2 linked regions of the Drosophila melanogaster genome follow. The protein of the gene in region 1 purifies or fractionates together with the protein of each later gene. This does not show direct contact. Each region holds a gene or a part of one and is shown on either strand. Other genes may lie near its edges.

Region 1 (4,827 bases):
TGTCTGCAACGACACGTTTTTTAAATCCTATTTGTTTTCTGTCACACAGGTCGGTATTTTAAACATTAGTTGTAACCATTATGAAAAACTACGCTACTTCAGCGGGAAAGCGGCTATACATATGTAAATATACGAGTATATCCAGATTTTACCCTGTCTAAATCCCTCAAGTTAAACAGAAATTTCCCTTGGCGAGGAAAAAATCGGACTGACAACACCTTCAATTTCACGTTTAGATATTACGTTCTGCGACGTAAAATTGAGTAAAGCACTCTTATTTGCGGAGTGTTTGTCTTTTAGCTCCTAATATTTCAGTTAACAGAATATTGGCGTTCAAAAATAACATGTGGAAGCAGTTTTGAAAATCGCTGGGGCTATCAAGGCAGACCAAAAATTTTTATTTTTCGGACTAATTTTACATAACTTTTTCTTAGAAACTCCCTGTTCACGAAAGGAAAGAAAACAATATAGCAGCACTATCCTCAAGAATCTAGGATTCTACAGGTACGCACATGATTAAAGCTTGGAAGGGATTAGTCATTTTTGAGCCCGATAAGGCGGAGTTCCGACTACAAGGGCATTGTGATATATTTTAAAATAAGTCAAAATATACACAAATACGAATACGAATTAAAAGCATTGACAGGGTGTATTGTACATTTGCGCACATACATCTATAAGTGTATGTATCAATTTATTTTTACTTATACTATTCTTTATACTCTAGTCTGTGCTGTCCCGACAATTTGGATTCGGATTTACGGATACGAAATACAGTCCCGATACCAAAATAAAAGATAAAAGACTAGTCGCTACTCTTCTCGTTTTTTCACATCCATATATACACATCTATGTACATATCTGCTTTACATATGTATTTCTGTGGGTTCACAGAGATGCTGTTTCTGTTTTCGCTTTCCAAAGTGGATGTGGCAGATGGCAGCGAGAGGAACGGAGAATGACCATAAACGAGGAGAGAACTGAGAGACGACCAACAAAAATAAGTTTGCGTGTATTTGTATTTATGTAGAAAATGTGTGAGTATATAGGTGGTCATATACTCACGTTTCGCTCGACGGTTTAGGCACAGGATAAGTACGGGGGAAATCGCGAACACAGTACGTAACAGTTACATTTCCATCGAAGTAGCAATTGAAGCACTGCTCCTTAACTAGCGTTCGCAGTATGATGCACATTTTGCATAATTTCAATTTCGAATGTACATGCAGACATATGTATGTGCACACATGTCGTGTATGAATACACACACACCCGAAGAACAGTAGTATGCCGCAGAATTTATTAATTTGCCTCACAGCACCGTTGCACGTTTAGTCGTTAATTTAAATTCGCGATGTATCGGAATCAAAACAGAATTCTGGATGAGATTTATTATAATTTTCCACTTTCTGCTGCTCATGCACGACGAACCACAAACAGCAACCAACACCAATAACGCCGCAAATAGAAAGACTAGGAAAAAGGAGCTTTGCTGACTTATTTGCAGTTTATCGGAGCTTTTTCGGTCAGACGACGCGTTGGATGGGTTACGTTGTCTTTCGTTACGTGCTCGCAACGGAGCTCCGAGAAATTCCCTAACGCGTTCTGCCGGATTCTACACGTACATAGATCGAGCGTTCCTTTTGGATGGCTAGTCAAATCAAATCAAACTAGGCCATTTTACTCAATCTACACATAAACATTGACTGTACAACATGCTCAAGCTTTCGCTGTGACTCAAAAACACTCCAAAACTCGGATTTGCATCAGTCTTCCTACAAAGGCGTTAAGGTATTTCAGCTCTTTTGGGCTCCATTCCCCTCCGTTCTGAACCTACGAATTTTCAGTTTTATCCGACGAACAAATAAAATAAGGGAGTGTCGATGTCATTTGTAAGGGGCAGTGCGTGTGTGTGTAGATGTTGTACGTTTTTTATAATTTTTTTCTTCCTGGACTTAAGTTTAAGAACTTAAGTGCTAGAGTAAAAATACCCAGTGTTGCAGTAGGAAACAGTATAAAGCTCCTCCATTTATTTGCAGTTGGCTCTAGCACTCCTTTCATGAGCACTTACATATATTTTTAAGTGTGCATTGCTAATATGTGTACTTTTGGAAGCTCCATTTAAAAAGTTCCCACCTTTCGTATTTGGTGCACATTTTCCCAATTTATTACATAAACTGTTTTATGACAATGTTGAATTCAAGTTTGAGTTCCCGTATTCGCTCGTATTAGATGAATATGTATACAAAAATCAGCTTGCTAAGTTCAAATTGTGTGTGTAAAATGGTTTTACCCGTAGTGGCATACATACATACATACATATGTACACATGCAAAAACCTTGAAACTGTTTTCTTGGGTAGTCGAATCAATTCAACGAATGCGATGGTGAACAGCTGATACATGTCAAACACGTACTCATGCAATGTAAACATCTAATTCCTGTACTTAACGGGATATTAGTTTGTTTATACAAATTTATGAATTCCTGGACTGGTAGTTCACTCAATTGACAGGGAATTACACATAATTTATTGCCAGATAAATATAATGCCTTGGAAAAATTATTTATTTATGTATGTACAAGAACGTTATAAGCAGTTTGGAAAAAAGTAGACATGTTCAAAGTGTATGTATGTGCATATATGTGTGTACATATATATATAAATATGTACATAATATATATATTTATATATGCATTTACATTTATATGTACGTTACGTCCTATGACTTTACTTATGTACATATGTCTATACGGATTCTTCTTATTGTTTAAATTAATACCGTTTGGTAAAAAGAAATTTCAAACTAAAAGTGAATAAAATCTTTTCAAAATAAGTAAAGAAAAATTACATCAATATACATTTTAATGCTAAAGGTCATTGAACATTTTACAAGCTTTATGAATTTTAATAAATTTTAATGTAAAAAGTAAAAATTAATTCATGCCATCCTGAACAAGAATATATACATACATATTTACATGTATATTTGTAACTCTTTAGATAGATCTTGGCGTCACAGCATGATTAAACAAAAACAACTAACGAGGTATTAACTTCTGACGATTGAACAAAAACGAATATACAAAAATTCTGATTTGTACTTTTATAACGAAAAATTATTTTATATTCAACTAGGAAACTATAATATCTGAAGTATACTCGACACCATTTATCAATATATTTCGCTGGCCTTTCATGCAAGTGTTCCGAGAAAGCACGTAGAATATTAAAAAAAATATATTATGCTGTGATCGTTTTGGGAACGCGGCTTACAATTTTAAAATAGTATAGTATTTTCACTTTCACCGCTTCTCTTCCGAACGATATACACATGTAATGGTCTTGGATGCAAGCCCTTAAGTTTTTGCATCTGCATATGCATTTCATCATGTACATACATATATAGTTGTCGCCTTTGGACACTATCTTGCTGCGCAACGTCACTACGAGGACTTTCGTCCACTGTGATATGTTTTGGCAGGATATATGTATGTATATTAACATACAATATGGTAGGTACTATAGGTAAGATTGTTAGGTCGGTATATTTTTATTCTATGTAGCCAAAATTAGATCCTACGAAATTTACTCATATGATTTAGGTATTAAAGGAAGTTAGTAAACAAAAACGAATTTACAGAAAAAAAAACAAACACAGCTGCTGTGCTGCTACTCTACGATATTAATCATAATTATCTATATTATATTTAAAGCAGGGGAATGTTGTACACCGGACAAAAAGAATGGTTATACTATTAACTATATGCTGTCGTGTTGAGGCACAAGAGTAGTGTAACATTAAAAGTGTGTCGCTGAAAAGGAAGGAAGCGTAACTATCTACCAAGCTTCGAGATTTTATAAATAGGTGGTCTCGTAATGTCCGATTTGGGAAGTGGAGATGATGGCATCTCAGGATCAAGTAAGTGAGCCGCATATTAATAAATATATAACAACTTCCATATTTTAGAATATAATGTTGCAAATATGGAGGGTTCCTCAAGTAGGAACGACTTCGATTCTTCTGCTAAAGGTAAAAATGCCACATGTATAATTTATACTATCTGAACACGTCACATTCTTTCGCGTCAGGAGGAAGCGGCGTCGAACAGGAATTGGCTACGAAAATGTTGCAAATACAATCTAAACGATTTTATTTGGATGTAAAACAAAATAGAAGAGGCCGTTTTATAAAGGTTGCTGAGGTAAATCATCTGATTAGAATTTTGTTATCACTTCTATTTTATAAAGAAAAGCTTTTGTTTGATTTGTATAACAGCACCTTTTGATAAAATTCACAACCATGGAACGTTATGTATAACAGCTTTAAAAATTTCAGATTGGCGCTGATGGTAGACGAAGTCAAATTTACTTGGCTCTTTCAACTGCAGCCGAATTTCGTGACCATTTATCCTCATTTAGCGATTACTACGCTTCTCTAGGTATATACAGTCCCATTGTAAAATGTTTATTTTTATCAATATTATTTTAAATACGAAAACTTTACAGCTCAAAGAAGCTGGGTTCGGAAAAAATATAATTTTTGAAATTTGAAAGCTGGAATCGTTTGCCCATTTTTTGCCCAATTAGTTTTTTTTGCCCACGTCCAGTTTTTGAGATAAGAATTTTCGAAAAAGTTCGAAAATGTTCGAAAATCAAACATTTCGCTTTTTTCAATTTTTTTTTTTAATTGCAACAACATCGTTTGCCCACCCTTTAGAATTTTGAAAAAATGTATACTTTAGAAAATATAAGGCTTTAAAGTTTACCTCGGTCTAATCAGAGAGTAAATCGTTTGCCCATCTCTTAAAACCAAATATAATCAA
Region 2 (7,791 bases), on another chromosome or scaffold:
AACAGGCGATCATAATATGGAGCGTTGGAAACGGCGGACTGCAGCATGTTCTTGTCAAGTCCCACGGATTGAAGTTGAGCCCTGGTGGCTGGGTTTAGACCCCTAAGCTCCGCAAGACTGGCCACTGGAGCTGGGATGTTGGAGATAACCACCGAGGAGGGAGCACGTCCAGCACGCGCTTCCTGGAATGCATGTTTAAGCGGTTCCGCCTGAAGAATTTGCGCAAAGACAGGATCACGATCATAGTCCGTATTGGCAGGCAGTCCGCAGTCATAAACTATGGTGGAGACCCCACCAAACTTGACCCTTCGCATAGGCGTATCCTGGCGCATCTGTGCTCCCATTCTGATCTGCACTGGGTTTTTCAACGGCAATGGAGAATTGAATGGTGTACCAGGAGGTGATTTTATAGGTGTCATGGGCGGCTGAGGACAGATGGTGTTGATCTCGGCTCTGAATTGCGGATTGTTCACATACTCCTTGCGAAATTCAGCAATGGGACCAAGCTTTGGATCCCTCGAGATGTTAAGCTTCTTTTCCTGCAGTAAACAAATATGTTACAGATTTGTATTGGTCTTGCTAACGATTTTGCTAATTTAATTACCTGTAATATTCCCAGAACCTTGTCATAGACAATACCATGAGTCACAAGGCTAAGCAGAGCCGGTTTGCTAATCCCCAACAGCTTTTCTCTAGTTTGGGCTCGCAAAGCTCCGTTTTCCTCGAATTGGGCTGTTGATTCGCATAGAGGCTCTGAAAACGCAACCAGTAGTTTGGGATGGGCACTCGCAGGACTTGCCAAAGCCTGGGCCACCTTGGGATTGGCAAGCAGTTCGTTCAAAGTGTCATCCGCAACGGGCATGAGGCCCAATGATTGCCAGGTCTGTTGCGCCTCCTGGGTTGGCATCAAGGCAGGAGCTACGTGCTCCACTTGGGCGTGATTAAGACGATCTCCAAGGCGCACAACAACGCCCTGTCCGACGCATTGCTCTCGCAATTTCTGAACGTATTGCTGCAGCTGGATGGCCTCCGTTTCCGTCAATCCATCGCACAGTGCGGCATCCAGGTCGTGTGGCGGCACTTGCAACTCGAGTTGCATTTTCCGCTTGAGCGCGGCATCGCTTCCAGCCACAGGTATTTGGGCGGTGCCCAGTTTCTCCATATAATCTGTGACCACATCCGGAGCAGCATTTGGCGGCACCCACTCCAGCTGAACGGGCTGACTGGCCAGAGCTTTGATTTTGATATCTGCAACAGTATGTGTTATGTTTTCATTTCTAACCTTTATATGTTATAAATATGTTTCGCAATTACTTACACGCCGGTTTGGCCCTAATCTGGCCCAGAATCTCGAACTGCGCCCAGCCAGTGGCATCATCGTCGTCCGGACACACATGCTGAATCTTGGGGCACTTGCAGTTGCGGCAAACCTTGCGCCAGAAGTGCAAGTCCAGCCCCGGACATTTGTCCTTGCACTCGGCACAGGGGGCTCCAGCTCCGGCTTCGTGACCCAGCTTGGAGCGTTTCAGTTGCTCCCGACGACTCTCCAGCTTCGATAGCCATTCCGGCGCCTTGGGCGTCTCCACACAAGAGTTGGGGCTCACGGCGGACATTTCGGGGATTGGCTCAATGCTAATACATCTAATATAGATCCCACTTTTATAGATCCTTTGTGTTCGCTGGTTTGGCTCTCCTAGGAGCGGTGGCTTAGGCAAATATACTGAAATAGACCGAAGTATATCGAGGTGATATCGATATGCTGCACTCATCGATAGGTGGGTCTCTTATCAGCTAAATTCTTATTGGCATTGTTCTTATTGGGTTTTTGCTTTCAAATAAATTTTTAGTTAATAAAGAAATTCATATACAAGAAAATATTACACTTCATTCTCTTTGTAATAATAATGATACTGCTGTTTTGCATTCACTAGTTTTAATTTTATTGCAATCATTGAAGTTAAATTTTTGTAAATTTCATTTTTTATACGGTAAATAAATAATTCTGTAATAATTAATATAATGTAAGCAATAAAGAAAATAAACATAAATTAAAACTACTACCCTTTCATATCCCAAATAATTTCTGATTATTCAGTGCTTACTGTACTAACCGCCGAAGACAATGGCATTTTTGCGAATTGGGCTTTTTTGAGCTTTCGATCCGCGGTCACACTTCCACAATTGTTTTTTTCGCGAATTCAATTGCAGTTTTTTCGCAACCTTTTAAATTAAGAGCAATAATCGAAAGGGCCATTTAACAGCGGTAATTAACTTTTTAAACTAACGGCAAACTTGAAAAGGGTTTGTTTGTTGAGCAAGCACTGGAAAGTCCAGTTGCAGAAAAGCATCAGAAGCAACAGAAAGCGCTCGATGCAATTTGCAAATACAGAAAAAAAAATAGGTGAAAAACTGCGTCCCACTGAAAAGTGAAAGTGCAGCATGGGTCGCGGGACGCGTGCGGAGGGCACCAGTTGGACACCCAGCAGTTGCAGGGGAAAACTGTCTAAAATCAGGCGCTATTTTTGTTAATACTGAATCTTAAAGGATAATATCCTTTTTACCGGTTCTGCTAAACCAAAGCTCTTGTGTGCGGAACTACGGCAACAATTTGATTTTCCCATTCGCTCAATTTTGCACGGTGGTTGTTTTTGCCCAATGCCTGTGACTGTGTGTATGTGTGTGTGTGTGTGCGTGGGACTGTACGTGTGTGTGTGTGGCGCGGGAGTGTGTTGGTAAAAGCGTTGTTAGTGGTTCGCCGCCTAATTGATTACGATAAATAATTACATTTTCGCTAATAATAATATAATTGCATATTGAAATTCCTTGAAAACTCATCCACTGAAACTAGGATAGTTTACAAAAATTAAAAAGAGTGTTTTCTTAAAAAACCTAAGGACTTTAGTAATCTCGTAATACAGATAGAATACTATTGAAATCCTTGATTGATCGGGTATCTCCAAAATACGTATAGTTTCAAGAAATAGCAATCCTTTTTCTTACAGTATCCAAAAAAGCTTTATGTCCTTAAAGAATAATCTTATTACAAATTGAAAATTTTATAATATGTGTTTAGAAGATGTATGTATTTAGATGTAAGACATTATATCATTAGTTTCCTATAGACCGCAGCTCCTAGGGAAACGGTCGAAACAATCATGACCGAGAAGTACGACGGCAACGGTGACTTTTCCGCTTTCAACGACGATGACAACGATTTTGGCGGCAAGCCTCGCAAGCCTGGTGGATCTATTGGAGCACCAGGTGGCGCCCACAATGGCGACGCTTCCGCCCACGATCACGGCCATCATGGAGGAGATCCCGGCGGCAATGTCCAAATAAACGAGAAAGCCAATGAGTACATACGCGATTGTATGGCGGAAAGAAATCGAATGGACAGGAAGTTTCCCATTGCCGAGAAACTGCTGGAAGGCGGTAAGTAATTCTAATCATTTCTAAGCATTATCTTATTACTCTTGTCTTGTTTTAGAGATAGAAAAGGTCCAGACCACAGGAAGGATTCCTTCCAGAGAGCAAAAGTATGCCGATATCTATAGAGAGAAGCCGCTGCGGATCTCGCAACGTGTTTTAGTTCCCATTAGAGAACATCCCAAGGTGAATTTCACACTGATTAGCTTACCTAGTAATTGTAACCAATTCAAATTGAGTACAATTTTTATGACTGGCGCATTTCATGACCGCTAATCTTTTATTATTCAGTTCAACTTCGTTGGAAAACTGCTGGGGCCCAAGGGCAACTCCCTTCGCCGCCTTCAGGAGGAGACCCTTTGCAAGATGACCGTCCTGGGCCGCAACTCTATGCGCGATCGAGTCAAAGAAGAGGAATTGCGCAGCTCCAAGGATCCCAAGTACGCTCACCTCAACAGCGATCTGCATGTTGAGATATCGACAATAGCGCCGCCCGCAGAAGCCTACGCCCGAATCGCCTACGCCATGGCCGAGCTGAGAAAGTATTTGATCCCAGACAGTAACGACATTATCCGACAGGAGCAGCTGCGCGAGCTGATGGACAGCACTAGCCTCAATGACAACGATAATGCCAAGAGTGGCTATAAGAAGACGTCTCACATGCAGGGAGGCAACAATGTCTTGGGTGGCGGCTCAATCAACCCGATTGGAGGGGTCAAGAACACGCCGCATCACAGCTATAGGTGAATTATATTTTTCTAGATTTAGCGTCAAAAACGTACCTAACTTGTATCTTTCGTTAACCCTTTTTAGGAGCTCACAGCCGTCATCTTTTAGTAAAAATGTTCTGGCTCCGAAGCAGAAAGTGATGTCCATATTGGAAAAAGCCAGGACGGCCATGGACGAAACCTATGGGTATGTTACTTAGATATAGATATTATCAAGGATTCATACTTAACAAACACATTTTGCAGTCGGGGCTATGACGACGGACTTGGTTATGATCCCCACCAGTCGTACGATAGCTACTCCTATGGCACTCATGGACATGGACCCCATGGACCGCCAGCTAACATTCTGGGCGGAGTGGGCGGCATCAGCGGTGGCGGTGGTCGGGGTGGGCACTACGAAAGCTCCGACTACGAGCCGGATTATGGAAGACGAGAATACTATCAGCATTCACCCGGCTATTCTGGTGAGTTACGGAGTGGTTACCTCTACAGACAGTATGTTACTTTTCGAGTCATCTCTTCAGCTGGCGGCGGCGGAGGTGTAGGTCTGGGCACTGGCGGCGCTTCTCAATCAAATGCCATCGGCGGCTCTGGTCTCAGTTCCAATCACAATCGCAGCCATGTTAACAGGTGAAATTTGCTGGACCCTAGTAGTGCCAGCGGAGGTCGAGGTACAAACCCGGCGGCAACCACCCAAAATTTGACCATGAAATCCCAACCCAATAGCAGCAACAACTTTTTGCCAAATCACGGAGCAAGTGAGTGCCAAAATGGCAAGAACATAAATCCCAACTACTACTACAATTCCAACGGCAGTTCCAAGGTGAGTACCCAACTGATAAACAGACTGATCCATAAAAATAATCCCAACTATCTTTTAGGTAAATCAGCAACAACTCCAACAGTCGCAACCAAATCTCCCACCGCAGCTATCAGGCCACAACAACAACAGCAGCAATGGCAGCCGGGCCAGCAATATGATTAACACCAGTAGCCACAATAATTGCAATAGCAACTTTCACCCAGTCGGTGAGAAAAACTCCAACGACGTTTCATTTATATCCTCCTATCGACTTGGTCCAATGGATGGCCAAAAGAGTGCCAACAGCAACAATATCAACAATCACACATTAGGCAGTAAAAACCACAGCAACAACACCACCACAACCGCTTCAGTGCCCAATATGCTCTTAGTAAGGTATTGAAATGCGATATTATCGAACGCAGAAGAGAACTCCTTCGTCCTTGCACACAACCCACACTAAATCGATGTCTTTGGACAATGCAAATGAATACACGGGCTTTATGTGAATCCGCTTGCTTGCTTCTAACATACATATACCTCTCCGCTTATCCGTCAAAGTTCCCGTATTGATTTGCATTGATCCGAAAACGCAAAAAAAACCCTTTCGATTATACACCGCAAATCAAAGACAAGAACATCTCTCTAAATCCAAATTAACATTCTCTTACAGACCTGCTAATCCTTCGCTACATATTGGCACATTTCCGTTCTTGCCCGTGCAGTTTTTCTGAACCCAACAGATACAAGAACTACAAGCAGAACAAGCAAATCGAAAAATCACATCAACATGAACATCACAGAAACTTTGTACACTTGAGTTCATAAGATTAGAGGAAGGCGTAGGAGGAGTATTTACAAAATGGACAAAATGAACTTTACGATATATACCACATACAAAACATATACATAACAAATATATTTATACATATATTTTTGCGTGCAAGGATTAACGTTTAATGATGATGAGGCTGGATCAACAAATCGAAAACCATACTTTCGCGTTGGCTATAAAACACAGACGAAACTGTGTCCAGTTTTTTATCTCTATTTACAAACCATCTTAAAGATACTAAAGAGCCTGAATGATTAGTGGGAGCTGTATTCGGTCGGGAGTGATCAGTAGTTAAGCACACGGCTCAGCTCAAAGTTGAGCTGGGATAGTCTGGCGTACAGATGATACAGAGCGAATCCAGTTGATACAGCAAGACAAAGCTATGTATAGGGAAAGAAGGACCCGACTGACGGTCGGTAGAGACAGAATCTATGAGATTAATTAACTTAATAGAATATAATAATAAATACAGAGGGCACACTTAAACCATAATTTTATTTATATATGCATATATTTAACAAAACTAACGATACAGATAAAGAATATATATATATACACTTACAAATTCTAATATTTACATAATTAACAGAGATCGACTAACCCCATGTTGACACGAAAGGTAACAGAATAACCCTAACAAAAATTATCTAATACTCGAGCATTCAGAATTAATATATCGAATACTAAAGAACTACAAATAACTAACAAATTACAAAATATATACAAGTTTATTGTGAAACAATGTCCATAAGTGGATAGTGCTGCAAATGATTACTTTATTAAAACACCAGATACGAAAACAATAACAGAGTAAAAAAGAATACTTAAACGCAAGCGTAAGCGTATGAATAACAAATACTCCATTTACTTATACACGAATATAAAGTTCTAACTAAACCAACAATGTAACTCAATACAAAATTAACGTAATAACAATGTAATTCAATGTACTTAACACATTTAACCCATGACGCTGGATAAAGCAAAGTAATTAACCCAAAATTTCGTTTCCTCAATTGTTCAAAAATGAGTCGTCTGCTTTGTCCAGTTGTCTCCATTAATTATACACTGAACTAACAAAAGTAACAAAACTAAACATAACTCGTAATCGACAATTTGATCCGTTGCCAAAACTCAAAATTTCGTTTCCTGTTTTCTCACTTTAGTTAGTTTTTAGATTAATGAGAATTCTCTGTAGAGCTTAAGTAGAACCAAGAGAGTGTGCCAAATGTTTGTAGGAAGGGATTCGGAGGGAGTGGATGGCAATGGACGGATCCCTTCCCGGTCTGAAATTACCAATTGAAATGCCAATTTATAGATATTATCATTTTTAATATTTATGTAACCTAATTTGAGTATCGAGCGAATAAAGTTGGCATTGCTAACGCAATGAAATAAACATATACTCGAATTCGAATAAGAAGATGAATAAAACGATATCTTGTCCAAAAACCTTAAGAAACATTTACTTACATACAACCATGTGAAACGTTAAATTGTTAAAAACAATTAAAATCTAGTTTTAATGAAATATCAGTAATACAGATAATACAAAGGAATTACAACCATTTATTACAAATAATTATCGTTGTTACAAATTATACAGATAACTAATATGAAATTATAACAAATGCTACTTTAGGGCGATTCCCCAAGCCCCCAGATAATTTATGATACCAAGTTAATGAAATAACCGAACAACAAAAACACCCCGCCCTAACAACAATAAGAATATATACACTTATATGATATACATACCTACAAAATGAATTCAAAGAAATAATATATGGCGATTGAGTTATTCTCATTAATTATTATATGTAAAATTAAATAACACAAGTAATAACTAAATGAATAAATAAATATATTTAAAATGTATCGAAAATCGATGTAGTAGAGTGTTTTTTTATTCCCAGCTAGGATGGAACCCCCCAATCTTAATTAAAACCTCTTCCTTTATGTTTTACTTTCAATATACATAATTTATTTCGTTGTTG

What was found.
Region 2: the proteins of Pur-alpha (region 1) and qkr54B purify together in Drosophila melanogaster (affinity purification with mass spectrometry, with the first as the bait; one large-scale study listed by BioGRID). This does not show direct contact.

What each region holds. Positions count from the first base shown.
Region 1 is NC_004353.4:556,378-561,204, forward strand, and holds the start of Pur-alpha (Purine-rich binding protein-alpha), read left to right. Parts: upstream 1-1,638; 5' UTR 1,639-1,791; intron 1,792-1,845; exon of another isoform or gene 1,846-1,923; intron 1,924-3,286; exon of another isoform or gene 3,287-3,516; intron 3,517-3,717; 5' UTR 3,718-3,880; coding exon 3,881-3,923; intron 3,924-3,971; coding exon 3,972-4,034; intron 4,035-4,093; coding exon 4,094-4,206; intron 4,207-4,340; coding exon 4,341-4,443; intron 4,444-4,827.
Region 2 is NT_033778.4:17,467,455-17,475,245, forward strand, and holds qkr54B (quaking related 54B), read left to right. Parts: upstream 1-2,169; 5' UTR 2,170-2,263; intron 2,264-2,291; exon of another isoform or gene 2,292-2,750; intron 2,751-3,112; exon of another isoform or gene 3,113-3,122; 5' UTR 3,123-3,155; coding exon 3,156-3,432; intron 3,433-3,487; coding exon 3,488-3,612; intron 3,613-3,717; coding exon 3,718-4,169; intron 4,170-4,239; coding exon 4,240-4,341; intron 4,342-4,400; coding exon 4,401-4,621; intron 4,622-4,681; coding exon 4,682-4,791; coding exon of another isoform or gene 4,792-4,980; intron 4,981-5,038; coding exon of another isoform or gene 5,039-5,355; intron 5,356-5,632; coding exon of another isoform or gene 5,633-5,693; 3' UTR 5,694-7,194; downstream 7,195-7,791. Other genes in the region: Tes (testin), read right to left, coding at 1-539, 605-1,248, 1,319-1,613.